Sus scrofa: one gene and its partners. The protein of the gene in region 1 binds, or shares a complex with, the protein of each later gene. Links are inferred from orthologs where the notes say so. Each region holds a gene or a part of one and is shown in the gene's direction. Other genes may lie near its edges.

Evidence for each region.
Region 2: ARID1A (region 1) and SMARCA2 share a complex: the UniProt entries of both Homo sapiens proteins name them as parts of the neuron-specific chromatin remodeling complex. The link is inferred for Sus scrofa from reciprocal best matches to the Homo sapiens genes ARID1A and SMARCA2.
Region 3: ARID1A (region 1) and DPF1 share a complex: the UniProt entries of both Homo sapiens proteins name them as parts of the neuron-specific chromatin remodeling complex. The link is inferred for Sus scrofa from reciprocal best matches to the Homo sapiens genes ARID1A and DPF1.
Region 4: ARID1A (region 1) and SMARCD1 share a complex: the UniProt entries of both Homo sapiens proteins name them as parts of the neuron-specific chromatin remodeling complex. The link is inferred for Sus scrofa from reciprocal best matches to the Homo sapiens genes ARID1A and SMARCD1.
Region 5: ARID1A (region 1) and PHF10 share a complex: the UniProt entries of both Homo sapiens proteins name them as parts of the neural progenitors-specific chromatin remodeling complex. The link is inferred for Sus scrofa from reciprocal best matches to the Homo sapiens genes ARID1A and PHF10.
Region 6: ARID1A (region 1) and SMARCD3 share a complex: the UniProt entries of both Homo sapiens proteins name them as parts of the neuron-specific chromatin remodeling complex. The link is inferred for Sus scrofa from reciprocal best matches to the Homo sapiens genes ARID1A and SMARCD3.
Region 7: ARID1A (region 1) and DPF3 share a complex: the UniProt entries of both Homo sapiens proteins name them as parts of the neuron-specific chromatin remodeling complex. The link is inferred for Sus scrofa from reciprocal best matches to the Homo sapiens genes ARID1A and DPF3.

The regions. Positions count from the first base shown.
Region 1 is NC_010448.4:84,115,729-84,119,228, forward strand, and holds part of ARID1A (AT-rich interactive domain-containing protein 1A), read left to right. Parts: intron 1-119; coding exon 120-252; intron 253-420; coding exon 421-596; intron 597-926; coding exon 927-1,077; intron 1,078-1,158; coding exon 1,159-1,299; intron 1,300-1,383; coding exon 1,384-1,480; intron 1,481-1,941; coding exon 1,942-2,833; intron 2,834-3,196; coding exon 3,197-3,327; intron 3,328-3,500. UniProt on the Homo sapiens protein: Involved in transcriptional activation and repression of select genes by chromatin remodeling (alteration of DNA-nucleosome topology).
Region 2 is NC_010443.5:219,742,422-219,745,921, reverse strand, and holds part of SMARCA2 (probable global transcription activator SNF2L2), read left to right. Parts: intron 1-311; coding exon 312-422; intron 423-3,340; coding exon 3,341-3,500. UniProt on the Homo sapiens protein: ATPase involved in transcriptional activation and repression of select genes by chromatin remodeling (alteration of DNA-nucleosome topology).
Region 3 is NC_010448.4:47,147,881-47,151,881, reverse strand, and holds the start of DPF1 (zinc finger protein neuro-d4), read left to right. Parts: upstream 1-1,201; coding exon 1,202-1,311; intron 1,312-1,414; exon of another isoform or gene 1,415-1,686; intron 1,687-2,661; coding exon 2,662-2,822; intron 2,823-2,907; coding exon 2,908-3,015; intron 3,016-4,001. UniProt on the Homo sapiens protein: May have an important role in developing neurons by participating in regulation of cell survival, possibly as a neurospecific transcription factor. Belongs to the neuron-specific chromatin remodeling complex (nBAF complex).
Region 4 is NC_010447.5:15,999,278-16,002,777, forward strand, and holds part of SMARCD1 (SWI/SNF-related matrix-associated actin-dependent regulator of chromatin subfamily D member 1), read left to right. Parts: intron 1-1,043; coding exon 1,044-1,179; intron 1,180-3,317; coding exon 3,318-3,440; intron 3,441-3,500. UniProt on the Homo sapiens protein: Involved in transcriptional activation and repression of select genes by chromatin remodeling (alteration of DNA-nucleosome topology).
Region 5 is NC_010443.5:555,415-559,697, forward strand, and holds the start of PHF10 (PHD finger protein 10), read left to right. Parts: upstream 1-1,483; 5' UTR 1,484-1,512; coding exon 1,513-1,599; intron 1,600-1,650; exon of another isoform or gene 1,651-2,024; intron 2,025-4,283. UniProt on the Homo sapiens protein: Involved in transcription activity regulation by chromatin remodeling. Belongs to the neural progenitors-specific chromatin remodeling complex (npBAF complex) and is required for the proliferation of neural progenitors.
Region 6 is NC_010460.4:5,985,966-5,989,465, forward strand, and holds the end of SMARCD3 (SWI/SNF-related matrix-associated actin-dependent regulator of chromatin subfamily D member 3), read left to right. Parts: coding exon 1-91; intron 92-298; coding exon 299-460; intron 461-1,570; coding exon 1,571-1,668; intron 1,669-1,826; coding exon 1,827-2,064; intron 2,065-2,262; coding exon 2,263-2,385; intron 2,386-2,502; coding exon 2,503-2,604; intron 2,605-2,799; coding exon 2,800-2,853; 3' UTR 2,854-3,155; downstream 3,156-3,500. UniProt on the Homo sapiens protein: Involved in transcriptional activation and repression of select genes by chromatin remodeling (alteration of DNA-nucleosome topology).
Region 7 is NC_010449.5:96,251,555-96,255,692, reverse strand, and holds the start of DPF3 (zinc finger protein DPF3), read left to right. Parts: upstream 1-1,338; 5' UTR 1,339-1,402; coding exon 1,403-1,434; intron 1,435-1,587; exon of another isoform or gene 1,588-2,157; intron 2,158-2,769; exon of another isoform or gene 2,770-2,855; intron 2,856-4,138. UniProt on the Homo sapiens protein: Belongs to the neuron-specific chromatin remodeling complex (nBAF complex).

The DNA.
Region 1 (3,500 bases):
GAGAAGGGTGACAGACAGCTCTAGCCTCATAACAATCTTTTTCATAGAGATTCTGGGACATTTGTGTGTTTCTGTGAGGGTTAAACGCTTTCCTGCTTACCCTGCATCTCTGTCCACAGCGGGATCAGGGTCAATGCAGGGGCCACAGACACCTCAGTCAACCAGCAGTTCCATGGCAGAAGGAGGAGACCTGAAGCCACCAACTCCAGCATCCACACCACACAGCCAGATCCCCCCATTGCCAGGCATGAGGTGAGGCCAGGAGCAGGGGCAGGTGCTTTGGGGAATCCTGGGCCCGAAGTGCATGAGCTCCTGTGCAGCTCAGGGGGTCCCTGGTCTCCCGACCAGTGAACCCATGTGCCTCGCGTTATTGGAGTAATAGCTTCGTTTGGGGTCTAATGAGCTTTCCTCACTCTTGAGCAGGAGCAATTCAGTCGGGATCCAGGATGCCTTTCCTGATGGAAGTGACCCCACATTCCAGAAGCGGAATTCCATGACTCCAAACCCTGGGTACCAGCCCAGTATGAATACCTCTGACATGATGGGGCGCATGTCCTACGAGCCAAATAAGGATCCTTATGGCAGCATGAGGAAAGGTGACCAACTGCAGTTGGCCTTGTGTCCTTCAGGACAGGGCCAGGGGATGGGGGGATATCTTGAGAGTGGTTCAAGGTTCCTATTGAACCATCCTCTGAGATGAGGCACTTCTGGACCTAACCCCCTCCTTCATCCTCCTTTTTTATTTCCTGCTCTTCACCGTGTCACCCCTTTACATGCCTCTTTAGATCTCTGTTTCAATCCTGTCAGAAAAATAGTTGGAACAAACCTGAGCTCTGAGAGGTCCTTGGCCTTTGGGGCAAGCAAAGTATAGGTTGTTAGGCCTGCTGAACAACCACTTTGCTCACTGTCTTCCCTTTTGCTCTCAGCTCCAGGGAGTGATCCCTTCATGTCCTCAGGGCAGGGCCCCAACGGCGGGATGGGGGACCCCTACAGTCGAGCTGCCGGCCCTGGGCTGGGAAATGTGGCGATGGGACCTCGGCAGCACTATCCCTATGGAGGTCCTTATGACAGAGTGAGGTAAGCATGGCCCCCACTCCAGTCCCACCCCAGACCCCACGGCTAGCACGGACTCAACCTGCTTCTCTGCTTTTTCTTTAGGACGGAGCCTGGAATAGGACCCGAGGGAAACATGGGCACTGGAGCCCCACAGCCGAATCTCATGCCTTCCACCCCAGACTCGGGGATGTATTCTCCTAGCCGTTACCCCCCACAGCAGCAGCAACAGCAGCAGCAGCAACGGTGAGTGAAGCTTGGTCTTGGTGCTGCTGTGGCTAAGGCTTTTCGCCATCCCACCCTGATCCTCTGTTTCTCTCCTTCCTGCAGACATGATTCCTATGGCAATCAGTTCTCCACTCAAGGCACCCCTTCCGGCAGCCCCTTCCCCAGCCAGCAGACCACAATGTATCAGCAGCAGCAGCAGGTGAGAAAGGTAGTGGGTGGGATGACACTGGTTCCTCTGAGAGCCAGTTAGAAAACCTTGGTCAAAAACTTGAGATGGTTTGGTGTTCTTCTTCCCAAATAGCCATTTTTGTCTAAAGAGCCAAGCCCTCAATCTTCTCCCTGTTTGGAGTCTAATCCAGTCTCTAGTTCTCTGCAAGTGTTAGAAACAGGCCTTATTTTGATTTTTAAACTTTGCTACGTTTTTCTACGTAGAGCAAGGGAGAGACAGAGGGAACAAAGAATGGTTCTTACTTTCAGAAACAATTTCAAAAGATAACGTGTAAAGGTGATTCTTTTGTTCCCATGGAATCTGTGTCCCCTCCTCTCTCAGAGGGGCAGAAGTAAGCCCAGTACGTGTCTGATGTAGCCATCTTGTCAGCTGTAGGTCTCCTATCCCCGGGTTCAGAGTATTAATTTCCCCTCTGCTTGTCCCTATCTTAGAATTACAAGCGGCCAATGGATGGCACATACGGCCCTCCTGCCAAGCGGCATGAAGGGGAGATGTACAGCGTGCCATACAGCACGGGTCAGGGGCAGCCCCAGCAGCAGCAGTTGCCCCCAGCCCAGCCCCAGCCTGCCAGCCAGCAACAAGCTGCTCAGCCTTCCCCTCAGCAAGATGTGTACAACCAGTATGGCAACGCCTATCCTGCCACTGCCACTGCTGCTACTGAGCGCCGACCAGCAGGCGGCCCCCAGAACCAGTTTCCATTCCAGTTTGGCCGAGACCGTGTCTCAGCACCCCCTGGCTCCAATGCCCAGCAAAACATGCCACCGCAGATGATGGGCGGCCCCATACAGGCATCGGCTGAGGTTGCTCAACAAGGCACCATGTGGCAGGGGCGTAATGACATGACCTATAATTACGCCAACAGGCAGAGCACGGGCTCTGCCCCCCAAGGCCCTGCCTATCATGGCGTGAACCGAACAGATGAAATGCTGCACACGGATCAGAGGGCCAACCATGAAGGCCCATGGCCTTCCCATGGCACACGCCAGCCCCCATATGGTCCTTCTGCCCCGGTGCCCCCCATGACGAGGCCCCCGCCATCTAATTACCAGCCCCCACCAAGCATGCAGAATCACATTCCTCAGGTATCCAGCCCCGCTCCCCTGCCCCGGCCAATGGAGAACCGAACCTCTCCTAGCAAGTCTCCCTTCCTGCACTCTGGGATGAAGATGCAGAAGGCAGGTCCTCCAGTACCTGCCTCGCACATAGCACCTGCCCCTGTGCAGCCCCCTATGATTCGGCGGGATATCACCTTCCCACCTGGCTCTGTTGAAGCCACACAGCCTGTGTTGAAGCAGAGGAGGCGGCTTACAATGAAAGACATCGGTAAGGAGACCTCCTTGATTGGGTTGCTGAATCTGCCCCTTTGCATCTTGTTCATTGTTCTCTCTCCATCCCGATGTTCTGGATGAGTTAAAAGCAGGTCCAGTGTTGACTAAAAGAGAGTCCAAGAACTTTGGGTAAGGAAGAAATCATCTGATATCAGGCTTTACTAAAGGAATCGCCACACAGTGATGTCCTAAGAGAGCTTAGAAGCCCTGAGGGGCAGATGTGTGTCATCTCCCAGATGGGAACTGCCTCTCACCATGTGTTCTCTTCAGAGTAGCCTGACTGATGAGCCAGCTCTGGGGTGGGAGGGCCCCTGCCAACCTGGGCTTGGTGGATGGACGACGTGGAGGTTTATTTCAGGAACCCCGGAGGCATGGCGGGTGATGATGTCCCTCAAGTCTGGGCTGCTGGCAGAGAGCACATGGGCATTAGACACCATTAACATCCTGCTGTACGATGACAACAGCATCATGACTTTCAACCTCAGTCAGGTGAGTACAGGTGCCTGGGGAAGATTGGGAAGGCCTAGGATCTTCTTGACAAAGACAGTGCTAAGCGACCAGGGAATTAAGCCATCCCTGGTCAACATGATCTCCTCCCACTTGTTCTCTGATACCTTTCGAGCCAGTACTTTGCCAGCAGCCATGGGCCCCCAGTACTGAGA
Region 2 (3,500 bases), on another chromosome or scaffold:
GCAGAGCAGCAGGTTCCCTGCTACCTTGAGGTCGCCGTAATTTCCTTTTCTCTCCCTGCCCTCCTTTGGTCTGCATTGGGAAAGCCTCTCCATAAGGGTCTGAAAAGTGTCCAGATGTGTGTGCAATTTTGCTAGCCACTTTCTTCTTGGATAATGGATCCATATATGATAATTGCATGTATGTGCAGTCCTTAGTCATGTGACTGGGCTCCATTAAGCCATGAATAGCGAGAGACAACTCACAAGCACTTCCATCGGGTAATATATATATATATATAAAATTTTTTTTTCCTTTTTTCCTTTCCATTCAGGGCACCCCTGCCATGCGTCGCTCCCTTGTCCCCCAGCTACGGAGTGGCAAGTTTAATGTCCTCCTGACCACTTACGAATACATTATAAAAGACAAGCACATTCTTGCAAAGGTAAGTTTAAAAAAATTCTTTTCTCTATAGTCATGAACTATTGCACTGGAGTATAAAGTCTCCTCCAGATTATTCTCACTGGTGTAATTTGATCGTTAGATGGCTTATCTCCCTCCCTCCGTCCTTCTCTCTTTTTTCCCCAGAGTCAGAAATATTAGAGGCATGGGGTTTTAACTTTATGCACGTTTTTTGGGTGGTTGTTGTGTATCATTGATCCTGGGACTCTTAGCTACCCTCTCATAGTTAATGACTTTGCATTTCTTAAAAAAAAATTCGCTTGGGTTTCTTCTGCAACCCCTTTTCTCTCTAACAGCCCTGAACATTGTGCTTGTGGAAGAAGTAATTGTTTTTGTTGCCCTGGGTTATTGTCAGTAGCATAACTTCATTCCTAGTGCCTTTGTCTCTCCAAAGATGAGCAGGCGTCTCTCCATATGGTCCTCTCCATATGAACATTTATCCAAGCCTGAGCTTTCGTGCTGTCCTTGTTTTATGTTTTTCCGAGCAAAATAGTGGGTTATTATCTTTTGAATTACTCTGGGCTGTTTCTGTGACTGTATTTGGCGCTGGGAAAGAGTTTTTTTTACCTGCAACCTACAGGTCTGCTCATTTCTGGGTCCTAAGTTGTCCTTTAGCTAAAAAATAAACATTTTCCCCCATTTATAACATCTTCCTTCCTAATATATTCATATAGAATGGTGGAAGTAGTTTCTGTCATGGAGCAAATATGAAAGCTTAATTTTTTTTTTCATTTAGTAATTTTTTTCTTTACCCTGTGGTGTTTTGAAAGCACTCTAATCTGAAACTAAGTTATGGCCGAAATTGAACAGAATCTCTATTTCTGGGGTCTTTTCTAACTCTGCATTAAACCTTTGCTCTGGGGATGAAGAGTTCCCTTCATGGCATCCTTGGAAATAACATAAAGGAAATGGGTTCCCAGGGGAGGTTTAATAATTGAGATGGCACCAGCGACAATGCTGTGTTCCTATTCTTCATACTCAGAGATGAACTTGGCAGTGTCAAAAATGATATGTTTTCAGTGTAACTGTGGGAATGTGCTTGTACATTTCAGATCCCTTAAAAAATTTTCTTTATTGTATCTTCCGCATACATATTTCAAAACTCATCAGAGGCACCTGGTAACAAGGTGTATGGCTTTTATTTGCTACTGGAGAAATGAAGATCTAGAAAAGGGCAGTAATTTTTTTTTTTCTGAGTGAAAGACCTAATTAGTAGAAGACCCAATAGCAAAATCATAGGCCTCTGATTCCTTGTTTATTATTTCCTAAGCTAAATCAGGCAGAAAGGTAGATTTGGAATATTTATTTAAATATATTTTTATCCCCTGGCATCTTTTCATGCTATTGGCAAGTTTGGGAGAATTGCTCATCTAACTTTATTTCTTAAAACCATTTTCTTAGAGACAGTGGAGGAAGAAAAAACCAGAATAAAACCCTGGTAGTTTCTTTGACCTGCACATTCCAGCCTGGCTGATGATTTTATTCCTTTTCTCTGACTTTTCTGGTGCTTCTAATGAGAAAGGCGAGGATATTATAGAATGCTTTGCTGTCTGCCTCTCTCTCTAAGAGCTTTGTAGCGGGATCCAGGGACATCTGAGCACCAGATGCTTTTCTTGGCCATTGCCACCGTTTTGTAGGGAATGGATAGGCTTAGTGGAATGTTTCTCATTGTTCTCTTTTTATGAAACAGTGACCTTGAAGAGGGCTGAAGGGTCAGGTGTGAGCCAGGAAGGGGACCGTGTGTACACTTAGGAAGGAAGAGCATGTCATAGGGTCATTGTTCATCCCTGAAGTGATGGTCAGGCTGTAGGAATAGATTGTGTTTCATGCTGAAGTTTTGGCATAAACAGAGGAATGATATTTTAGCACTGCCCTGTCTGCCATATCCTTTCATTTTAGCTACTTGAAATAGGGGTCCTAAAACTGGCAGGTCAAGAATATGTATGAACTAAGAGAACCCAGGTTGCCAGATCTTGTCATTTTTTTCTTTTCAAAGAAGCTGTATGTCCATGTTTTTGGATTTTTCTTTTTCTTTTTTTGTTTTGTTTTGTTTTGTTTTGCTTTTTAGGGCTGCACCTGCGGCAGATGGAGGGGACCAGGCTAGGGGTTGAATCGGTGCTACAGCTGCCGGCCTATGCCACAGCCACAGTAACGCCAGACCAGAGCTGCATCTGTGACCTACACTATACAGCTCATGGCAACACCAGGTCCTTCACCCACTGAGCGAGGCCAGGGATTGAACCCACAACCTCATGATTCTAGTCGGATTCGTTTCTGCTTCACCACAACGGAACTCTGTGGATGTCCAAGTTTTTGTGTGAAGTAGTCCAACTTTTTAATATTAGCAACTAGTTCAAATTTAAAAAAAAAAAAAGAAAAAGAAAAAGGAACACGAGCTGAACCCTGGAGGTAGTAGTCAGCCAAGATAATAGAAGAAAAGAGTTTTTGGCTCCAGGTACCTGCTGGCGCCATCTTGAAGAAATCAGTCATTCACTTCTGCTTCAGGTGAAGAGCTAGAATCTCTCTACTTACTTTGAGCAGAGGTAACATATCCATTAAATCTGGGATAGCTGTCATGATACAGCATTAATTGGAGTATTGGATGGGGAGACATGGGAGCTAGTCCTGGCCCAACCATTTCATTCTGGGTCCGAGTTTCCTTTTCTGTGGAAGGGTGATTTGAAATCACATTCCACTAGTCCATTCTGCTATTACATGATGTATGCCATAATCTGTCAGGTGTGGGAAATAGACTATTCAGATCCTCTTGTCCTAAGGAGTATCATGCCATATCACGCAGCAAGCATGGGTTCTTTGGTTTTCTGCACCACCGCCTCCCTGTTGGAAGTAGTTGTGTTTTTCCTTGCTCACCCCATGTTGGTCTTTCCTTTTATGTTATAGATTCGGTGGAAATATATGATAGTGGACGAGGGCCACCGAATGAAGAATCACCACTGCAAGCTGACTCAGGTCTTGAACACTCACTACGTGGCCCCCAGGAGGATCCTCTTGACCGGGACCCCACTGCAGAATAAGCTGCCGGAACTCTGGGCCCTCCTCA
Region 3 (4,001 bases), about 37 Mb from region 1:
GTGCCTGGCACATGGTGGCTACTCAGTATGTTTATAGTCAACAGATCTTTTTTTTTTTTTAAGACTGCACCTAAGGCATATGGAAGTTCCCAGGGTAGGGGGTCGAATCAGAGCTGCAGCTGCTGGCCTACTGCACAGCCACAGCAACGCGGGATCCAAGCCATGTCTGCGATCTACACCTTGGCTCTTGGCAACGCTGGGTCCTGCTGATGGAGGGCAGGGATAGAACCGGAGGCTTTATGGATTCTAGTCAGGTTCTTTAACACTGAGCCACAATGGGAACTCCTCAACAAATCTCAGTGAGCATCTGTTACATGCCCAGCATTATTCTTTCTGATAATGGCTAGCTATCACCATTTCACATCTTAGTGCCTATCAGGTCCTCTTTGTGGAAGGAATGAATTTATTGAACATTGACTACCTGACAGCTAACTTTTAAAACACTTTGCCTATACTTGCTCATTTAATCCTCACAATAACCCCCATGGGGCATCACCCTCACTTCACAGAGTAGGAAACTGAGGCCCAGAAAGGTTATCATTTGTCCAAGGTCACATGGCCACGAAGTGGCAGAGCCACGATTTGAACCCAGGAAGTGTGGTTACAACTCTTAACTAGCTAGCTGTTGTTGGAGGCAAGGAAGGGGTTGTGTGGGGCGGGATCCCTGCCAGAAAGAAAGCTGGGGACCTGAGAGGGTTCTGTGGAGTTAGGAGGGACTTGGGGGGGGGCGGTGTCAGTGAACCACGTGTCCGTGGAATGTGTATGTGGGGGCGGTGTCGGTGAGCCACGTGTCGCGTGTGTACCTGTGTAAGGTGTCTTTAAGTCTCTTGACATTGGAGTGTTTGTGTGAGTGTAAATGTATGTGAGTCTGTGTGAAGGTGTGGGAGAGGGAGTGTGCGTGAGCCTGCGTGGGAGGCAGGGAGTATAGGTGTGAATGTGTGTGTAAGCTGCCGCGTGTGGGTGTGCGCGAGACCAGGTGTGCAGGTGTGAGTGTACGCGCATGTGTGAGACTCGGAGGTGTGCATGAGTGAGCGTGCGGGGATGGCTGTGCGTGCCCTGGCCCCACCTCTGACCCCGCTTCTCTGCGGGGTCCCGCCAGCCCCAGGCCGGGAACTACCACTCCCGGCATGGCCCGGGCGGGCCCGCCCCGCCGCCCTCATTGGCTGTGGCCCCGGTGCTCCCGCCCCCCGGGAATGAATGGATGGGCGGCCTCAGCGCCCGCCCGAGCGCTGGGAGGACCGGCCCGGCGGGGACCTGCTGGGGGCAGGACCCGGGGAGCAAGATGGCCACGGTCATCCCCGGCCCCCTGAGGTGCTGCGGGCCGGCGGGAGGCGGGGGGGAGGGCGCGCGGGCGGGTTTGGGCGGGCGTGTGTGTGTGTGTGCGTGTGTGTGGCAGCTGGGGGTGGGGCCGATGGGGTGTCTTGGGGGCTGTCACCGTGGGCCGGGCTGCGCCGGGTTGCGAGTATGTGACTACGGGTCTCTGGCAAGAACCTGGTCCGACGCGCTCCTCCTGGAAAAGCGGAGTGTGTGGGGAACTCAGAGTCTTCTTGGGGTTCTTTTCGGGGAAAGGGGGTCATGTCCCGCCCTGCGACCCCCGGGATTGGGGAGAGGGAGAAACTGTCTGGAGGCGCTAGGGCCTTGGTAAACTTGAGTGAAGCCCACACTACCTTTGTCTTGGAATGTAGAGTATGTGTCACTTGTTTGGGTTCTGGGTTTTTTGGATATGTGTGTGGATATGTGTTTAGTTTCTTTTATTCCACACTAGGTATCTTTAGATATTTGGGTCTTTGAGTGTGTGTGCCTGTTCTTTGAAACTGTGCATCATTTGTGCTCTGTGTCTTTGGATATGTAGGTGTGCATGTATTTATGAGCAAGTTTTTGTGTGAAGATGGGTTGATTTGTCTGTTTCTATGCTGTGTATGTATGTATCTTTGTGTGCTCCAATAGGTGATATTTGAGATGTTGGTTTCTGTACTGTGTGCCTTTGTGAATATGTGTGTGTATCCTGTGTGAATATGTGTGATTTCTTTGTATAGCGTATCTGGATAGTGTGTGTGTTTTGTGTCTTTGGCTATGTGTGTACATGCATATGTGGGTAGTTTGTTTTCCTGTTTTTTTCTCTTTTAACATTTGTGTATCTAAGTGTGTCTTTGAATGCATGAGTGAGTGTGTGTGTGGTGTGTGATCTGTTTGCATGCTGTGTGTCTTTAGATATGTGATGTATATTTGAGCACGGGTATGTGTGTGATCTGTCTCTACTTGAGATATTTGTGTTTTTCAGTAGATGTTTGTGTGTGCACATATGTGAGATGTGTCTGTTTCTCCTTTGTGAGTCTTGGGATGTGTGTTTCTTTGTGTGTGAATCCCGTGTGACTCTATGTGATTCGTTTGTGTTGTGTATTTGGACATGTGCCTGTATGGATGGGTCCCAGTGTATTTTTGTCTGTTTCTATATTGTGTGTGTTTGTATCCACTCCTTGGCTGGGGACCTGCTTGAATCCCAGCTGGGGGGCTCCTGGGTCCAGGAGCCACAGGAGGGGAGAGGGGAGGTTGGAGGAGTCCGCCCACCCATTCCCTACGAGCGGGTGGGGGAGGGGTGCTGGGCGACCTGGTGGGCTGCCCTTGCTGACAGCTGCCCGCCCGCTCACCCGCCCCTCGCAGCCTAGGCGAGGACTTCTACCGGGAGGCCATCGAGCACTGCCGCAGCTACAACGCGCGTCTGTGCGCCGAGCGCAGCCTGCGCCTGCCCTTCCTCGACTCGCAGACCGGCGTGGCCCAGAACAACTGCTACATCTGGATGGAGAAGACCCACCGCGGGCCGGGTACCCACCGGGAGGGCGGGGGCGGGGCGGGGCGGGGCGGGGCGGTGGCTGCGCGGCCTTGTTCTTACCGCCTTTCTCACGCCAGGTTTGGCCCCGGGGCAGATCTATACGTACCCCGCCCGCTGTTGGAGAAAGAAACGGAGACTCAACATCCTGGAGGACCCCAGACTCCGGCCCTGCGAGTACAAGATCGGTGGGTGGAGCTTCGTCCTGTGCTCGGGGTGGCTCCCATCAGTGCCCACAGCACGCTTGCTAAGTGTGTGCTGATGCTGATGTTGTCTGAGCGTTCACCTCTATTCCCCTCCCAAAGTGTCTGAGTGGCTGGCTGTGTGTCTGCCAGTGTGTGTCTGGCTGTAGTCCAGAGCTTCCCCGGTTCTCCCTGAGTGACTGAACTTTGGACTGTACTTTCTCCTGACTGGGCCCCAGCCTATTCTAGGACAGAGTGGTATCTGTCATGTGTGTGCAGGTGTATCCAGTCTTTGTATCTCTTCCTTGTGGGCTGTATTTCTTTCTGTGGATGTCTGAATGTGTCTGGATGTGTGAGAGTGTTTGGTCGTAACTGTCCATTTGTAGTAGAGTGTATCTCAGTATTTGTGTCTCTTTTCAGGTGTTTCTAAGTGTATTAGAAGGTTTATTTCCTCTTGCGTGTGTCTGGTTTGAGGGTCCAACTGTTCCTGAGAGTCAGTGTATCAGGGTGTCCAACTGTCTCTTCCTTTCAGTGCCAGATGCTTTGGAAGGTCTGGGAGAAGCTCTTCCCCAAGTATCTGATCCACTAGGTGTACATGGGCTGCCTGCCTCCTGAGTCTCTGGCCTTAGCACTTCTTGACTGTGTCCCCTACTATTAGATCACTGGCTGTTTCTCTTTCCTTGTCCAAGTAGATCCAGGGTTCTGTGTGGGGCCAGGTGTATTGGAGTGTCTATCTGGCGGTGTCTGACTGCCCCAGAGGGACTGTCTCTATGTCCTATGTGTGTGTATCCACCCTGGTGACTCTCTCTAGGTGTGTCTCTGTTTCCCCTAAGAATGTTCAGGTGTTTGCTAGGGTCTGGCTGTGTCTTCCTCTTGTGGGTCTGGGCATATCTGATGGTCTAATGGTCCCTTTCTGAGTGTCTCTGGGTGGACCCAAGGGTCTGGATATTTTCCTCCATGGGTCCAGGTGTATCTGAGCATCAGGGTGTGTC
Region 4 (3,500 bases), on another chromosome or scaffold:
CAGAGCTACGGCTGCTGGCCTACGCTGCAGCCATAGCAACGCCAGATCTGAACCACACCTGTGACCTACACCACAGCTCACGGCACACCAGATCCTTAACCCACTGAGCAAGGCCAGGGATCGAACCTGTAGCCTTGCGGTTCCTAGTTGGATTTGTCTTCTGCTGTGCCACAATGGGAACTCCGAGAAACTACTTTTTGCTGGATGTCTTTTGTACCATTTGAATTTTTACCACTGAGGGTTTTGTTGTCTTTTGTTTTTTAAAATCTTTTTAGGGCCACACCCATGGCATATGGAGGTTCCAGGCTAGGGGTCTAATTGGAGCTACAGCTGCCAGCCTACACTGCAGCCGCAGCAAAGCCAGATCTGAGCCACATCTGCGACCTACACCACAGCTCATGACAATGCCAGATCCTTAAACCACTGAGCGAGGCCAGGGATCGAACCTGCATCCTCATGGATGCTATTCAGATTTGCTCCATTGACCATGATGGGAACTCTGCCATTGAGGTTGTTTTTTAAATCAACTTTATTGAGGTTTATATGCAGTATATCACACCCATTTGAAATATGGGTGAATAATTTTGGTCAAATGTGTGCATTCTGTAGCGACCACCACAAGGAAAGGGCAGAGCATTTATGTCGCACCCAAATGGTCTCTTGTGCCCTTTTGTAGTTAACCCCTTGCCCTTTAGTCTTGGACAGTCTTTTTGTTTGTTTTTCTTTTTTGCTTTTTAGGGCCACACCCATGGCATATGGATGTTTCCAGGCTAGGGGTCTATAATGGAGCTGCAACTGCCGACCTACGCCACAGCCACACCAGATCCGAGCCAGGTCTGTGACCTGCACCACAGCTCATGGCAACGCCAGATCCTTAACCCACTGAGCAAGGCCAGGGATCAAACCCACAACCTTATGGTTCCTAGTCAGATTCATTTCCGCTGTGCCATGACGGGAACTCCTGGTTTGGACCTTTTTTTTGACTCTGTGTGATTAGGTCTTAGGGGACAAGCCCTTTACCAAGCCCTTGTTTTCCTCCCCAGTGTTGACCCGAATGATCAGAAAAAGACAGCTTGTTATGACATTGATGTGGAAGTGGACGATACCCTGAAGACCCAGATGAATTCTTTCCTACTGTCCACCGCCAGCCAGCAGGAGATTGCTACTCTAGACAACAAGGTAGGGCCCGGGCCCTGGATGATGGGGCCACCAGCCCTCTAGCTTAGCTGCTTGGCTGCTTTTCTTTTGTTGTTTTCAGTGGACATGTGGAAGTTTCTGGGCCAGGGATTGAATCCAAGCTGTAGCTGCAATCTTCGCTGTAGCTGCAGCAAAAACAGATCCTTTCACCCACGGCGCCAGGCTGGGGATTGAACCCCCTCCTCTGCAGTGACCCAGGCCGCTGCTGTCAGATTCTGCGCCACAGTGAGAACTCCTGCTTTTGAGTCTTGATATTCACTCAGAATGTATTCATACCTAGTGTATGTGAGGCACTTTGGTGCTGGTTGGAACCAGACACCCAAGTTGTGCTTCATAGCTTAATAGCTTTGGGCCTCATTTTCTGATTTGTGAACAGAGACCGTAATACCTGTTTCTCTAAGGTCGTTACAAGCATTAAAGGAGACAGTACATGTAAAGACATGACATTGTATCTGGCGCATAAGATCAAATGGTGGGGTTCTTATGTGGCTCAGTAGGTTAAGGGTCCAGCCTTGTCACTGCTATGGCTTGCCTGGCTGCTGTGGCACGGGTTCAGTCACCTGGCCCCGGGAACTTCCATATGCCAGGGGTGCGACCAAAAAAAAAAAAAAAAAAGGCAACTTTTGTTCCTATTGTTATTATCATTAACTTTAGACATAGTCTGTGCAAGTAAAACCAAAAAGGCTCTGGGAACACAAAGGAGAGCAGGCAGACTTTCCTGGAAGAGCTGACATCCCAACTACATTTTTTTTTTTTTTTTTTTTTGGTCTTTTTGGGCATGCATATGGAAGTTTTCAGGCTAAGGGTCGAATCAGAGCTGTAGCTGTCAGCCTGCGCCACAGCCACAGCCATGCCAGATCCGAGCCACATCTGTGACCTACACCACAGCTCACGGCAACGCTGGGTCCTTAACCCACTGAGCGAGGCCAGGGATCAAACCTGCATCTTCATAGATACTAGTCAGGTTCGTTAGTGCTGAGCCAGGACAGGAACCCCCCAACTAAATCTTGAAGGACAACGTGGGAGTTAATGACAGGTGAGAAAGGATGATGGCGCTTAGGGGCAGAGAGGTCAGAGAACATTCCAGAAAGAGAGGACAGGGTATATGAAGGCCCCGAGAGGTGCAGAGAGCCTGGCATGTTCAAGAAGTACTGTGTTAATCTCAGCTCAGGGCCCTGGAGAAGGAAACTGGATCGGGAAGCTGGGGTCTAGTCATGAGGCAGCTTTGATGCAGGGAGAACTGGTGTATACTTTGTCCTGAAAACTGAGGGCCTGGTGCGCATGCGTTTAGAATGATCACCGGCAGCACATGGGGAGTGAACTCTCAGGGGGCAGATCTGGCGCCAGGAAGTTAGGTGGTGGGGCAGTTAGGCGTGTGAGGTGTGCTGAGGGCCTAAACTTAGGGTTCTGACAGTGAGGATGGAGGGGAGTAGGCAGCCCGGGGAGGTGTGAAATGGCACTGAAAGGATTCGGACCCTGGATGGAGACGGCGGGGTGAGGTGTGGGGAGAAGAGGCTTTGTGCCGACCCCCAGCTCTCCAGCTAGCCACGTAGTCCTAGCACCCGGTTGGAAACAGGCTTGGGGGAGAGATGGTGCATTTCGTTTGGAGAGTTTAAGGTGCCTTGAGTGGTCAAGCAGTTGGATTGGTGGGCGTCTAGAAAACGGGCTCTGGTTTGCAGACCGGGGACTCTTCACCCTGTCAGAGGTCCTGGAAGATAGCTAAGGAGATGATGTCACCAGGAGGAGTGCAGAGAACCAGAAGAGGGCAGAGGACAAAACCCACAGACCAGAGCTTTCGAGACAGCCTTCGGCACCACCTCTTTTCTGCCTGAGAGTGTTTCGGGACCCCTTTGTGCTGTGGATTAAGTGTTTACCGTGTGGCGTCCCCCACTCTGGACATTGTGGAGACTAGAATGGGGCCCACAGGGACACAGGGCATGTCACCTGTGGAACGAACATGAACCGGAGCCAGGGCTGGGGGCTCTGGGCAGCAGTGCCTTTTCTGGGCCACACTCTGTTCCTGGGTTGCGAGCGGCACAAGGAGAAGTCAGACGCTGTCTGCCGTTTGGCCCTGTGTTCCCCCAGCGTGGAGATGTCAGGAGCTTCTTCCTTCCTTTCAGATCCATGAGACAATAGAAACTATCAATCAGCTGAAGACCCAGCGGGAGTTCATGCTGAGCTTCGCCAGAGACCCTCAGGGTTTCATCAACGACTGGCTTCAGTCCCAGTGCCGGGACCTCAAGGTAGAGGACCCGGGACAGGTGCAAAGGGACTTGAGGCCTGTGAGGCTCACAGTTGCTTTT
Region 5 (4,283 bases), on another chromosome or scaffold:
GGCTGTGCAGCTAGAAAAAGAGGAGCCAGAGTCCGACCGAGGTCAGCATGGTCCCCAAGAGTCCCGCTGAGGGTCATCTGTCCTTGGTCTCTGCACGCCAGCAGCTCTCGCATCTCTGGTGGGAGCTGCTGCATCAGCTACATTCCAACAGTCGTACTGTGAACCTGCACATTTTATGGTTGCAGCACGTACAGAGGTGGAAGTGGGTAAAATCTGCAAATGCAAGCAAGCTGAGGATGTTTTTGGAAAGTACAGTTTCCACGGCAGGTGGAGTCCAAGAGACCTCAAGGCTGCGAGCAGAGAACAAAGGCGGATAACGGGCAGCCACGGGAGCCGGGAACTCAGGACAAGCCAGGTCCCTCCACATCCCACCAAGACTAGCCCGCGGGCGAGGAGAAGGGAAGGGAGGGGAGGGGACCCCGGGCGGGCGGGAGGGGCAAGGGGCGGGGACCCCCAGAAGAGGAGGAGGGGGCGGGCGGCGGAGACCCCTGGGACGGAGGGGGCGGGGACATCCTCGAGGGACGGAGGGAGAAGGGACCCTCGGCCTGGAGAGCGGGGGGAGGGGAGGGAGGGGCAAGAGAGGTGGGGACCCCCGGGAACGCCAGGAGGGGGCGGGGCGGCGGGGAACCCTGGGTCGGAGTGGGGGGGATCATCTGGGAGGGACGGCTGGGAGGGCGGGAGAAGGGGCCCTCCGGATGGAGGGCGAGCGGAGGGGAGGGGACCCCTGGGAGGGAGGGGTTAGGAGGTGGGGACCCCCGGGAAGGCGAGGGGGCGGGGCCACCGGGAGGAGGGACCGCGGGAGGCGGCGGGAGGAGGGCCCCTCGGGGCTTAGGGGCAGGGGGCGGGGCCCCTTGGGAGGCGGGGCGGGGCGGGGGCGGGGCGGCGGGGACCCCCTGGCCGGAGGGGGCGGGGGCCCCCGGGAGGGAGGCGGCGGGGGCGGGGACCCTCGGCTGGAGGGCGAGGGGCGGGGCGCGGCGGGGCGGGGAGCCCCGGTGGGAGGAGAGGGCTGACGTGCGAGGGGCCGGGCCGGGCCGGGGGGCGGCGGGCCGGGGCGGGGCTGGGGGCTGAGGCAGCGGCGGGAGGTGGGGCCGCGGAGCGCGCCGGGCTGCGGCGGCCGGGAGGCGGGGAGACGGGCGCGGGCCGCGCGGGGCCGAGGGGAGCGGCCCGGGGCCGGCGGGCGCGGCGGCGGCGGCGGTGGCCGAGGGCCCGGCGGGCGCGCACGGCGGCGGGCGCGGCGGGCGCGGCGGCGGCGGCGGCGGCAGGGCGGCGGGCTCGGCGGCGGCGGCGGCGGCGGGCGGCGCGCTGGCGGCGGCCATGGCGGTGGCGGCGGCGCTGGCGGGCCGCGGGGCGCGCGGAGGCAGGGGCCGGCCCCCGGGCGGCGGGCGGGCGGAGGGGGCGGGGCCCGGGCGGCGGGCGGCCCGCGCGGCGGCGGCGGCGGCGGCGGCAGCGGCGGCGGCGGCCGGGACGAGGCGGCGGCGGCGGCGGCGGCGGCGGCGCGGGGCGCTCGGGCTGATGGCGGCGGCGGGCGGCCCCGGGTCGGCGCTGTCCCCGCGGCCGTGCGACAGCGACCCGGCCACGCCCGGAGCGCAGTCCCCGAAGGTGAGGAGCGGGCCGGGCCGGGCCGGGCCGGGGGTGGCGGGCGGGGAGGGGCCTGCGGGCGGCGGGCTGGTGCGTCCGGGCCGCCTGTCCCGGCGCCGCGGCCCAGCCCCGCGCGGCGCCCCGTCCTTTTGGCGGTTTCCGCGCCGGTTCCCGGGGCCGTCGTCCTCGCCGTGGAATCAAACTTTCCTCCCGGGCGGAAACACTTTCCTCGGCGGCGGCGGCGGCGGCGGCCTGGGGCGCCGTGTGCGTTTGGGAGAGTAGCTCGGGAGGAGTTGAGTCCTTGGGCGAAACAGACGCGGAAAGCACTGCAAACACGCTGTCCCGGTGGCGGACTCAGCTGGGGGCCGCGGCCGTGCTCCGCGGCGCTGAAATCCCCAGGCAGACTCGGAGTTTCGTGGCTCGTACTGTGGGGACGTGTTTGTAAGGTCAGAGTTGTGCAGAAAATCGAGATGAGCGTGAAAACCTCTTGTTTTGAAGTGAGTGTACGGGTTCGTGACAGGGGAGCGGAGCGTGCCCTGTTACTGAAGCTGGACGGGGGGCCGGGGGCCCTGCAGACGGCCCTGCGCGAAGCCTGGCTCCCGGCCTTGGCCGCTGCCCGGGCTCAAGACCCCACCTGTGCGAGCGGCTGGCCCCGGGCCCACACCGTCGGCTTCCACAGTGCAGGGCTCGCCCTGCCCAGCTCGAGGGGTCTGTCCCAAGAGCATTTCATCTGAAGGTGGTAGCCACCTGTGACTCAGATGCAAGTAGCTGGCCATCTTAACACCCGGGTTTCTGTGTCAGCATCGAGGGTGCAAGCACTTCTCTCTTGGTTGCCATCATGTTATGGGAATGTGTTGCAGTGATGGCTCTCTAATGTCCACTTTGTGTATAATCCATTTGCCTAGGACTTGTAATAGCCAACTCAAACACTACATGTGAAATTGTGGTTTCAACTTTTTTGAGGACTTTGCATTTTTAACTTTTTTTTTTTTTTTAAAGGGCCACATGTGCAGCATATGGAAGTTCCCAGGCTAGAGATGAACTCGGCCTATGCCACCCACATTCACTGCAACGCCAGATCCCACGGAGCCCAGTCTGCGACACACACAGCAGCTTGGAGCCATGCTGGATCCTTGAGCCCCACTAAGCAAGGCCAGGGATTGAAACTGCATCCTCATGGATGGTAGTCGGGTTCGTTGCCACTGAGCCACAACAGGAACTCCGCATTTTTAACTTTTTGTCTCTTTTTTGGTATCTTAAATTTTTTAGCCAAGGGAAATATACTTAAACAAATTGACGTAAAAGTCCTTAAAGTGCTAAGAAGCAAGTGAGATAGATAGGAAATGATACTTGAATGCTTATCGAATATGAAACCTATCAATTGGGAGACTTACTGTTAATTGTACGTTTTTGGAGGATAGATTTAGACTCTTCATCTCCTACCTGGTTGCTCTCTCTCAGTAGGAGTGTAAAGAGCTCTTTAACTGAGTGCTCACTTGCTAAGAACTGAAGAGGAGACTCACGGTTTTTGCTCTTTGGTAAAGAGTCTGAGTAAATTCCTAACAGGTGGAGCCATGTGAGATGTGACACTGTCGTCATGGTCGTAGTGACTGACTTGTATTGGGCACTTAGTTGTTTGCTAGGCTTTGCTCTGAGTGCTTCCCATGTAGTCGCTCTTTTAATTCCTGCCTGAGCCAAGGCCTGGGGCACTGCCCCATCTAGGTTTTGCAGATGAGGGTGGCTCCCAGAGGACAACCACTCAGCCCCCAAAGCCAGTGCCCAGTGGGATTCCAGGCCGCCCAGCTTTCTGTGCTCGACGAACTGCATACTCATTGCCTCTGCCTTCTTAGAACCATGGGTTTAACAAAATTGATTTTTTAAAAACCCATTTTAGTCCTGGAATCTTGTTTTTTTTTTTTTTTTTTTTTTTTTTTGGCCAAGCCTGTGCTGCGGTGACAGCGCCTATGCCCTGAAGGCGCTCCCTCAGTCTGCTCTTTTTAAGCCTTATGCTGTTAATTCTTAGCTAATATATGATTAAATCGACTTCCTAACCTTTGTTGCCTCATTCATTTCCCTAATGAAGCGGTCTGACGGCCTTGATACGGTCAGGTAATGGAAAACATCACTTAAAAAAAAATATATATGTCTTTTTGCTATTTCTTTGGGCCGCTCCAGTGGCATATGGAGGTTCCCAGGCTAGGGGTCAAACTGGAGCCACAGCCACCGGCCTGCGCCACAGCCACAGCAACGCGGGATCCGAGCCGCGTCTGCAACCTACACCACAGCTCACGGCAACGCCGGATCCTTAACCCACTGAGCAAGGGCAGGGATCGAACCCGCAACCTCATGGTTCCTAGTCAGATTCGTTAACCACTGCGCCACGACGGGAACTCCACTTAAAAATATTTTAAGCCTCTTTTTTGGGGAGGTAGTGTGTGTTATTTTACGTGTGTATATATATATATATATATTTTTTTTTTTTTTTTTTTTTGCTAAATTTTTGTAGTGTAAGAAAAATTATCAGGATTGGTAATCTTTTTTTAGTCCTGTGTGTCTTCTTCAAAGATCAAGGATTTAAAAGATAGCCAGTAAACCAGGTATGAGTTGAGTTGAACACTAAATAATCCATACATTTTTATCCTTGCTGGCTAGGAGGGTTTGCTTTCATTTCAGAGGACTGCAGCAGTCTTACGTGTGTTATTAAA
Region 6 (3,500 bases), on another chromosome or scaffold:
GCCCACAACTCAGGAGACGGACGGGTTCCAGGTGAAGAGGCCGGGGGACCTGAGCGTGCGCTGCACGCTGCTCCTCATGCTGGACTACCAGGTCCGTGCCCCCAGACACCCCAGCCCCCTCCCGGGACAGGGTGACCAGACAGGGGGGCCCCAGGCTCCTCACACCTCCCACCCCCGCTCCGAAAGCATGTTTCCACGGAGCCCGACCACCACATCCCCCCCCTACGTCCCAAGCTGCCTGGCCCTGCGCTCCCTCCACGCCCGCCTTTGTCTAACTTGCATGGTCACCTTTCCCCAGCCCCCCCAGTTCAAACTGGATCCCCGCCTGGCCCGGCTGCTGGGGCTGCACACGCAGAGCCGCTCAGCCATTGTCCAGGCCCTGTGGCAGTACGTGAAGACCAACAGGCTGCAGGACTCTCACGACAAGGAGTACATCAACGGGGACAAGTATTTCCAGCAGGTACCCTCTCTCTCGAACCCAGGGCCACGGGGAGCAGGCAGTTTCCGGGAGGGGAAGTGCCTCCACTAAGGTAACAGCACCTCTCCCCTCCTGACTGCATCAGAAACGGTAAACAGTCCTGGTCCGGCTGCCAGAGCCAGAGTCCAGGCTCTTCCTCGCCCCGCTCCGTGCCACAGCCGTCTTAGCCCACCCAGGCTGGGGAATCGGAGCCCTGCGAATCCAGCAGCTTTGGGGAGCATATCCTTGGTACTTGGAGTGAGGATCCCCAGGTTCCAGTCTTGGCTCCGGACTCTGGATAAATGACTTTGCTATTTTGAGCCTTATTCCTTCTCTTACAGTAAGGAGGGTGCTGACAAACTGCTGTGGAAGTGACCTGACAAAATTCTACCAAAGTGGAGATGATCATTAACAATAATTTTTATTTATTTATTTTAAATTTTATTTATTTATTTTTATATTTTTACTTTTTAGGGCACCCACAGCATATGGAGGTTCCCAGGCTAGGGGTCAAATCAGAGCTATAGCCGCCGGCCTACACCACAGCCACAGCAACGCAGGATCCGAGCCGCATCTGCAACCTGCACCACAGCTCACGGCAATGCCAGATCCTTAACCCACTGAGCAAGGCCGGGGATCGAACCTGCAACCTCATGGTTCCTAGTCAGATTTGTTCCCGCGGTGCCTTGATGGGAACCCCAACAATAATTTTTAAAGAAAAACAGCAGATAAACCTGAGTGGTAAAAATAAAGTCAGTGTTTATTGAGCACTTACCATGTGCCAGGCACTGGTCCGAGCCCGTTATGTGTGCTGACTCTAACCTCACAGCCACCCCGTGAGATGGGCGCTATTATCATCCCCTTTCTAGAGATGAAGCAACTGAGGCCCGAGGTGTTGGGTAAGTTGCTCAGCTGCACAGGAAGTGGTGGAAGCAGGATTTCTACCCAGGCCAGCAGCCCAGGCCTTGGCGCTGTCAACCATGCGCTGCATGGACCCGCCCCACTGGCAGCCCCTGCCCAGCCCCGTGGGCTCTGGCTTCCCCAGGCCTTTTCAGAAGGGAATGTGTGCTCTTCCAAACATGCGGCACGAGTGATCTCTCTCTCCTACTTCAGATTTTTGATTGTCCCCGGCTGAAGTTTTCTGAGATCCCCCAGCGCCTCACAGCTCTGCTGTTGCCCCCTGACCCCATTGTCATCAACCACGTCATCAGGTGAGGCCCCAGTTCGCTCTCAGAACAGGGAGTCATTGTGGGGGCGGGGGGGGGGGCTGGCCTCTCAGTCCCTCCCGCTGCCTCCCACTCGGGGCCCCTTCCCTCCCCTTGGCCTCTGTGGGGCAGCAAGGACACCAAGGGCTGGACTTCCCTGGCAGCGTGGACCCGTCGGACCAGAAGAAGACAGCGTGCTACGACATTGACGTGGAGGTAGAGGAGCCACTGAAGGGACAGATGAGCAGCTTCCTCCTGTCCACAGCCAACCAGCAGGAGATCAGCGCTCTGGACAGTAAGGTGGGGCCAGAGCCCAGAGCTGGAGTGGGACATCAACCCCAAAATGACACAAGCACAGACAAAACAGACGAGAACACGGGCCTATGGAGAGAAGAAGGGGAGGTGGGCCTTGCCTTGCTACTTGGAGCTCCGCCCATCCCCCCTTCCCTGGGACTGCAGAGGCCCAGTCCAGCCCCAGGGGACCTGAGGGACAGCCCTTCAAAGGAACAGCAGCAAACCCCTCCCCCCGCCTCCCTTCCCCCTCCCATCCTCGCCCACATCAGCAAGGCCAGGTGAAAGCATCTGTCTTTCTACCTGTAGATCCACGAGACGATTGAATCCATAAACCAGCTCAAGATCCAGAGGGACTTCATGCTAAGCTTCTCCAGAGACCCCAAAGGCTACATCCAAGACCTCCTCCGCTCCCAGAGCCGGGACCTCAAGGTGAAGGGGACTCAGGGAGCACTGGATGGAAGACAAGCACATTGGGAAGACAGTAAACGTTGTGCCCAGGGGCTGGAGGGGATCCGGGCTCAGGGCTGACCCGCTGCTCCCTCCCAGGTGATGACAGACGTGGCAGGCAACCCTGAGGAGGAGCGGCGGGCTGAGTTCTACCACCAGCCCTGGTCCCAGGAAGCTGTCAGCCGCTACTTCTACTGCAAGGTGAGGAGGGCCCAGGACACCTCCAGCCGCACCCTCCCCCACTCCCTGCTCAGCCTCTACAGCCACTCCACCCTCCCCGTCACCACGCAGGGGAGGCTCCCTGCTCCCCCTGCGCCTCCAGGGCCGGGGGTGGGGGGGGTGGTCCTGTCACTCACCGGGAACACGGTAACCCGGCTCCTGCTCCCCTCTCTAAAGATCCAGCAGCGCAGGCAGGAGCTGGAGCAGTCGCTGGTTGTGCGCAACACCTAGGAGCCCTGGGCACGAGCGCTGCTGTGGGCCCCTGGGCCCCTGCCCTGTCACCTCGGGCACTGCCGTCACTCCTGATGCCTTGCGGCCGAGGTGGGGACCGGATTAAAGGTCATTCATCTGATGGCACTCGTGTGGTCACTGGCAACTGGGGAGGGAGGAGGAAGGGGCAGGCCGTGGGTCCCTCTGGGCAGTTCCTCACCCCTCCCGCAGAGCCGCCTCACTCCATTTGCCCTAGACCTAAAAACGGTTTGGCAGAAGACACTTTTAATAACATTTTCTTATTAAAAAAAATACAGCAACAAGCTCTCCATCTGTCCGTCCATCTCGCCTGGCCTTCCTGGGGCTGAGGCCGGAAAGGGAACTAGGTGGCTGGCGGTGGCGGGGCCCCGGGGTGGACTAGGTGCTGTTGGCCTGCTCCTGCTCAAACAGAGCCATGGCGAGCTGGGCGCGCCCCCCCAGCCCCTCCAGGTTGCTGAGGCGGCAGCGGTGGTAGAGTTCCTCGCTGAGCCGAGGGCTGCAGTCACGCAGGGAGAACTTCTGCACCAGCCCTGGCTCCACGGCCCGGAAAAGGTGGAGCCCTGAGAACCGGAGGAAAACATCCATCACCTCCAGCCCCTCCAGGGCTTCCTCCTCTTCCTGGCCTGCCA
Region 7 (4,138 bases), on another chromosome or scaffold:
CAGTTGCACTCTGAAAGTTCTGGAACTTAAAAACTTGTTATTTTATTCATTGCTTGGATGGAGTGCTGAGCAAGGAAGTGAGAGGGCACAGCTTTGAAGAACTGGCAATTTGGCATCTCCTCTCCCCCCTTTTCACCCCTCCCCCACTATCTTAGCTATTTGACCTCATTAAACAACTTTGGATAGTAGCCAGATTTCTGTATGCTAACGAGGCCCCTATTCATGATTTAGTGCGATTTCATCCACCCTGAGCTGCCTGGCTCCTCAGTGGAAGCCTGGCTTCACAGAAGTCTCTCAGTTTTGTCAGGGCTTCGCCAGTGAGGAGTTCGCACGGACTTGAAGCAGACACATTCTCTGAACGCCTCAGGTCACATCTGATTATTCATTAGCAAATTCTTTTCACCTTTTTATCTAATCAATGAAAGGTGACGCCGGAATCGCGTATGCTACTCCCCGAAAGGGACTCTGGCAACACCCATCTAGGTTCCACAACTTTGTCTCGTTACTCTTTCCGAAGAGCAGAAAGCGTTTGCAAAAGTTCTCTTAAACCACCCCTCCCCTAAGCCTAAAGGTCAGAGCGCCAGGCCCCAGTTGGCTCTCCAGCTCTCTGACCATTTAATTTCCGAAGTTTCTGGTTTGTGCGAGGACAGAGGAGGTGGCAGTGGGCAATTGCCTGAGTGACCACCGCGTATTAAGTAAGGAAAGCCTGGCTGCTGGAGGGAACGAGCCTGACATTGAGACATTCCAGGGGGAGGGGAGTTGCTGTCCTGGAGTCGCCAGGAACGGCGGCACCAGTTCCAAGAAATCAGAGGAAGGTGGCCGAGATAAAGACAACACTTCAGGAATGAGAATATTAAAAAGCCGCAGGACCCAGAGCATTAGTAAGCGGCAGGACACGTGTAGTAATTAGACGAAACGGCACCCTTCCAATTTTTGCACTGGAACGAGGGGAATTGTCCTTTGGGGGATTAAAAACGTAACAGTAAAGCCAAAAGCTAATGAATAGGGTTCAACGGTTTGCTTGCAATACTTAAATATTTTCTGTCCAGGACTTAAATATTTCTGTCCAGGAGCGCAACTCTCTGCAGTTGTTTAGAAAGTAAGGATTCAAACCAAACTAGAATACTCTCGTGCGTCTCCACTTTCCCTCATCCGAAAAGGAGCTCTACGCGCGGTACTGCCCCTTTAAGACCTGCTTGCTCTCGGGCTCTACAAAAGGGAGTGACCTCTGGGCTTTGACAGCTCCCCTAATAACTACCACCGTGCAGGCCCCGCCCACCTGGCGACCAGCCGCGCCGATTGGCCAGCGGGCCGGTATCCCGTGCTCTGATTGGCTCGCCGCTTCCCCTGAGCGAACCTTTAGAACTCTGAGACAGACAATATTCTGTTACATTGTAGCAAAATGGCGACTGTCATTCACAACCCCCTGAAAGCGTAAGTAAGACTAAAAAATGTACATTTTCCTCGTGGTTTCAATATGAAAAAAAAGGCGCCTTCTGCGTGCCGAGCGCTGCCAATGCACTGCGCTTGCAGGCGCCTACAGCCGCGGTGGGGCTTCTCTCTTTTCTTTCAGCTCTTACTTCTTCATTTTTTTTTTTTTTTTAACCCGGGCGCGCAGAAATGTCAGGAGAGGCAATTAAGAAGAGGAAAATTGGTACATTTGTGTTCTTCTAAATTGGCGGACTGAGGGAGAGGGGTTACTGGCAGGGGAGCCAGGCGCTCGAGTGCTCTACAGCGAGGGGATCCTGGGCAGCTCAGGGACAGCACGGTCCCCAGAGTGCCCAGCTTCTCCGGGCGGTGAGCGCGGCGCGGGGGGCGGCTCAGCTGGGGGCGAGAGCCAGGCTGGGGCCGCCTGGGTGCACTTGGCTGAGCCCGGTGCTTCTGGAGCCCGCAGCCCCCGCCCCGATGCTAGGTCGGCGGGGGTGAGCGGACCGCTGCAGCTCCGGAGTTTTCAGGGCGCTCTCCGCCTTCTGATCGCTTGCGGGGAGTTTGTGCAAACCTTCCGGAGTTGGGAGGACCGCAGGGGGAGCACCGGGTCCCGGGAGCCCTGGGGCCCAGGTGGTTGCCCGGGGCTTTCCTGACGGGGCAGCCCCCAGAGCTTGACTGCGCTTCGGGCGGTCGCCGGTGTGTCTCCGGGTGTTGTTTGTGGGGAACTGCCTGTAATAAATTAACGACTCGGGTTAACTTGGGGTTGATTTGGAGACTGGGAAGCTGCAGGTCTTATGAATGGTGTTCTTGCCTCCTCTGGGTGAATAGTCGAGGCTGGCGAGAGGCAGCCTGGGGCTCCCCGCCCGAGCGGGTAGCGTCTGCTCTCGGCCAGAGCTAGGGGCAGGTGCCTCTGGCCACAGCCGGGAGACTTTGAACGGACGCCCAGATCCGGGACGGAGGGGGGGCGGGCTGGGCGAGGACACGCGGGGGCCAGTCCCCAGGTCCGACAGCCAATTCCTGCCCGCCTTCCTTCCCCCTCCTTTTTATCCTGGCTTCCTTCCTTCCTTCCAATCCGTGGAACTGTTAAGCCGCCAAGTCCGCTAGCGATCGCGGAGCCGGGGGTGGCTTCGGAAAACTAGCGTCGCTCTAAAAGGGGTGCTCTTGGCAGTAATGTTGGCAGAGGGGCACTCCCTCCGGATCGCAGCGCGACGTGGGTGGGGGCTTGCACCCCTGGGATTATGACTTCGCAGCTAGGCTGGAAGCCGCGGGCAAGGGGAGGGGGAGGTGCGGGGGAGGGCATTTCATGGCGAATTCTCTCGCCAGTGCCTGGAGGATGCCCACCTAGGTTCTTTCAACTCAGCGCATCCACGTTCGCACCCGAGGCTCCTCTTGGAGTTGAAAGCCACGTTCGCACTGGGGGAGGGGGGCGGCAGGGGAGTTCTTAACACGAAGGAACTCGCGGGGAGAATGGGACGTGTTTGCACCAGCTTATCTCCTATCGGTAGTAGGAGAAAAGGTTAGGAATGTCCCAGATCTTGGAGTTTTAAATGTATAAATATGTATTAACCCTAAGAGGACATTGGGAGCTGAGGCTGATTAGAGAGCAGCTCTCGGCTTCAGTTCTCGCTTGGAAGCTCTGATACACTACACTTGAACGCTACAGCGTTTCACCCAAGATAGAAAATGTTTTATGGCAGAATAAATGGGCGTAACTTCACCGCATCCTCTCTCCCGGTCCCTCGCGCTGCTACACCGCTGATGCTGTGAGTTTTTACCGAACCCACAGCTGATTTGCAGTTTTCACATTTCCAGCCCAAATCGCGTAGCCGAGCTGATGCCACCTGGTAAACTCAAGTTAGAGGATCTATTTCACATGTGTGCCAGGTTTGTTTCCTTTTGGGAAAGCAGTACCCTAGTTACCCCTGGGCCCGTTTATACGCTGGCGGGGGCAATATCTCTACGCTCTTTAGCTCTTTACTACCGGCTCCGGTTTTTTGTTTTTTGTTTTTGGACAGCAGAAGACTACATGTTTGGGGAGGGTATCTGTATAGGGTGGGGTTAGAAGTGGGGGAAGGGAGAGAGAAGCAGGCTGGTTATTGGAATTAGTTCTGAATTATTACACTTGTACTTTGTATAATTAGAAACAGTTGCAATGCCATGTATTTGTAATTTTGTGTCGTCACACACACCTACATCTTAGCATACCCTTGACATCCAGCCTGCTTTTTCTAGGTGGGAGTTGAGTGGTCATTTATAATTAGCTGCTCCTTTTTGCATCTTGACCCCTTTCCCTGGGGATAAGGAGGTATAAACAATACCCCTACCAGCCCAGCCTTCTGTGCCTTGGACGGCTTTTAAAGTTCTAGCGCAGGGGCACGCACGTTGTTACCGGGAGATCTACATCATCGGCCTTTATTTTTAAAAACACTTTGTTTAATAGATCATCTTGTATATTTCATTTGTTTTTAAAAGTTGCTTATCAGGAAACAATACACACATGAATAAATTATGCATGGGATAAATTAGAACAAAGCGCAGAGACACTTCAGGCCGAAGGGATAGATGGCGGTGCTGGGAGGAGGGGAGCAGGGAGAAAGGTTTGGAGAGCTATGTTTTTATCCTCACGTGTCCCTCCTGACAATGAAACGGGGCTGAACGACATTAGCATTTTCTCTGCGTGCCTTCTGAGTCTCTCTCTCCTTTCCCTTAA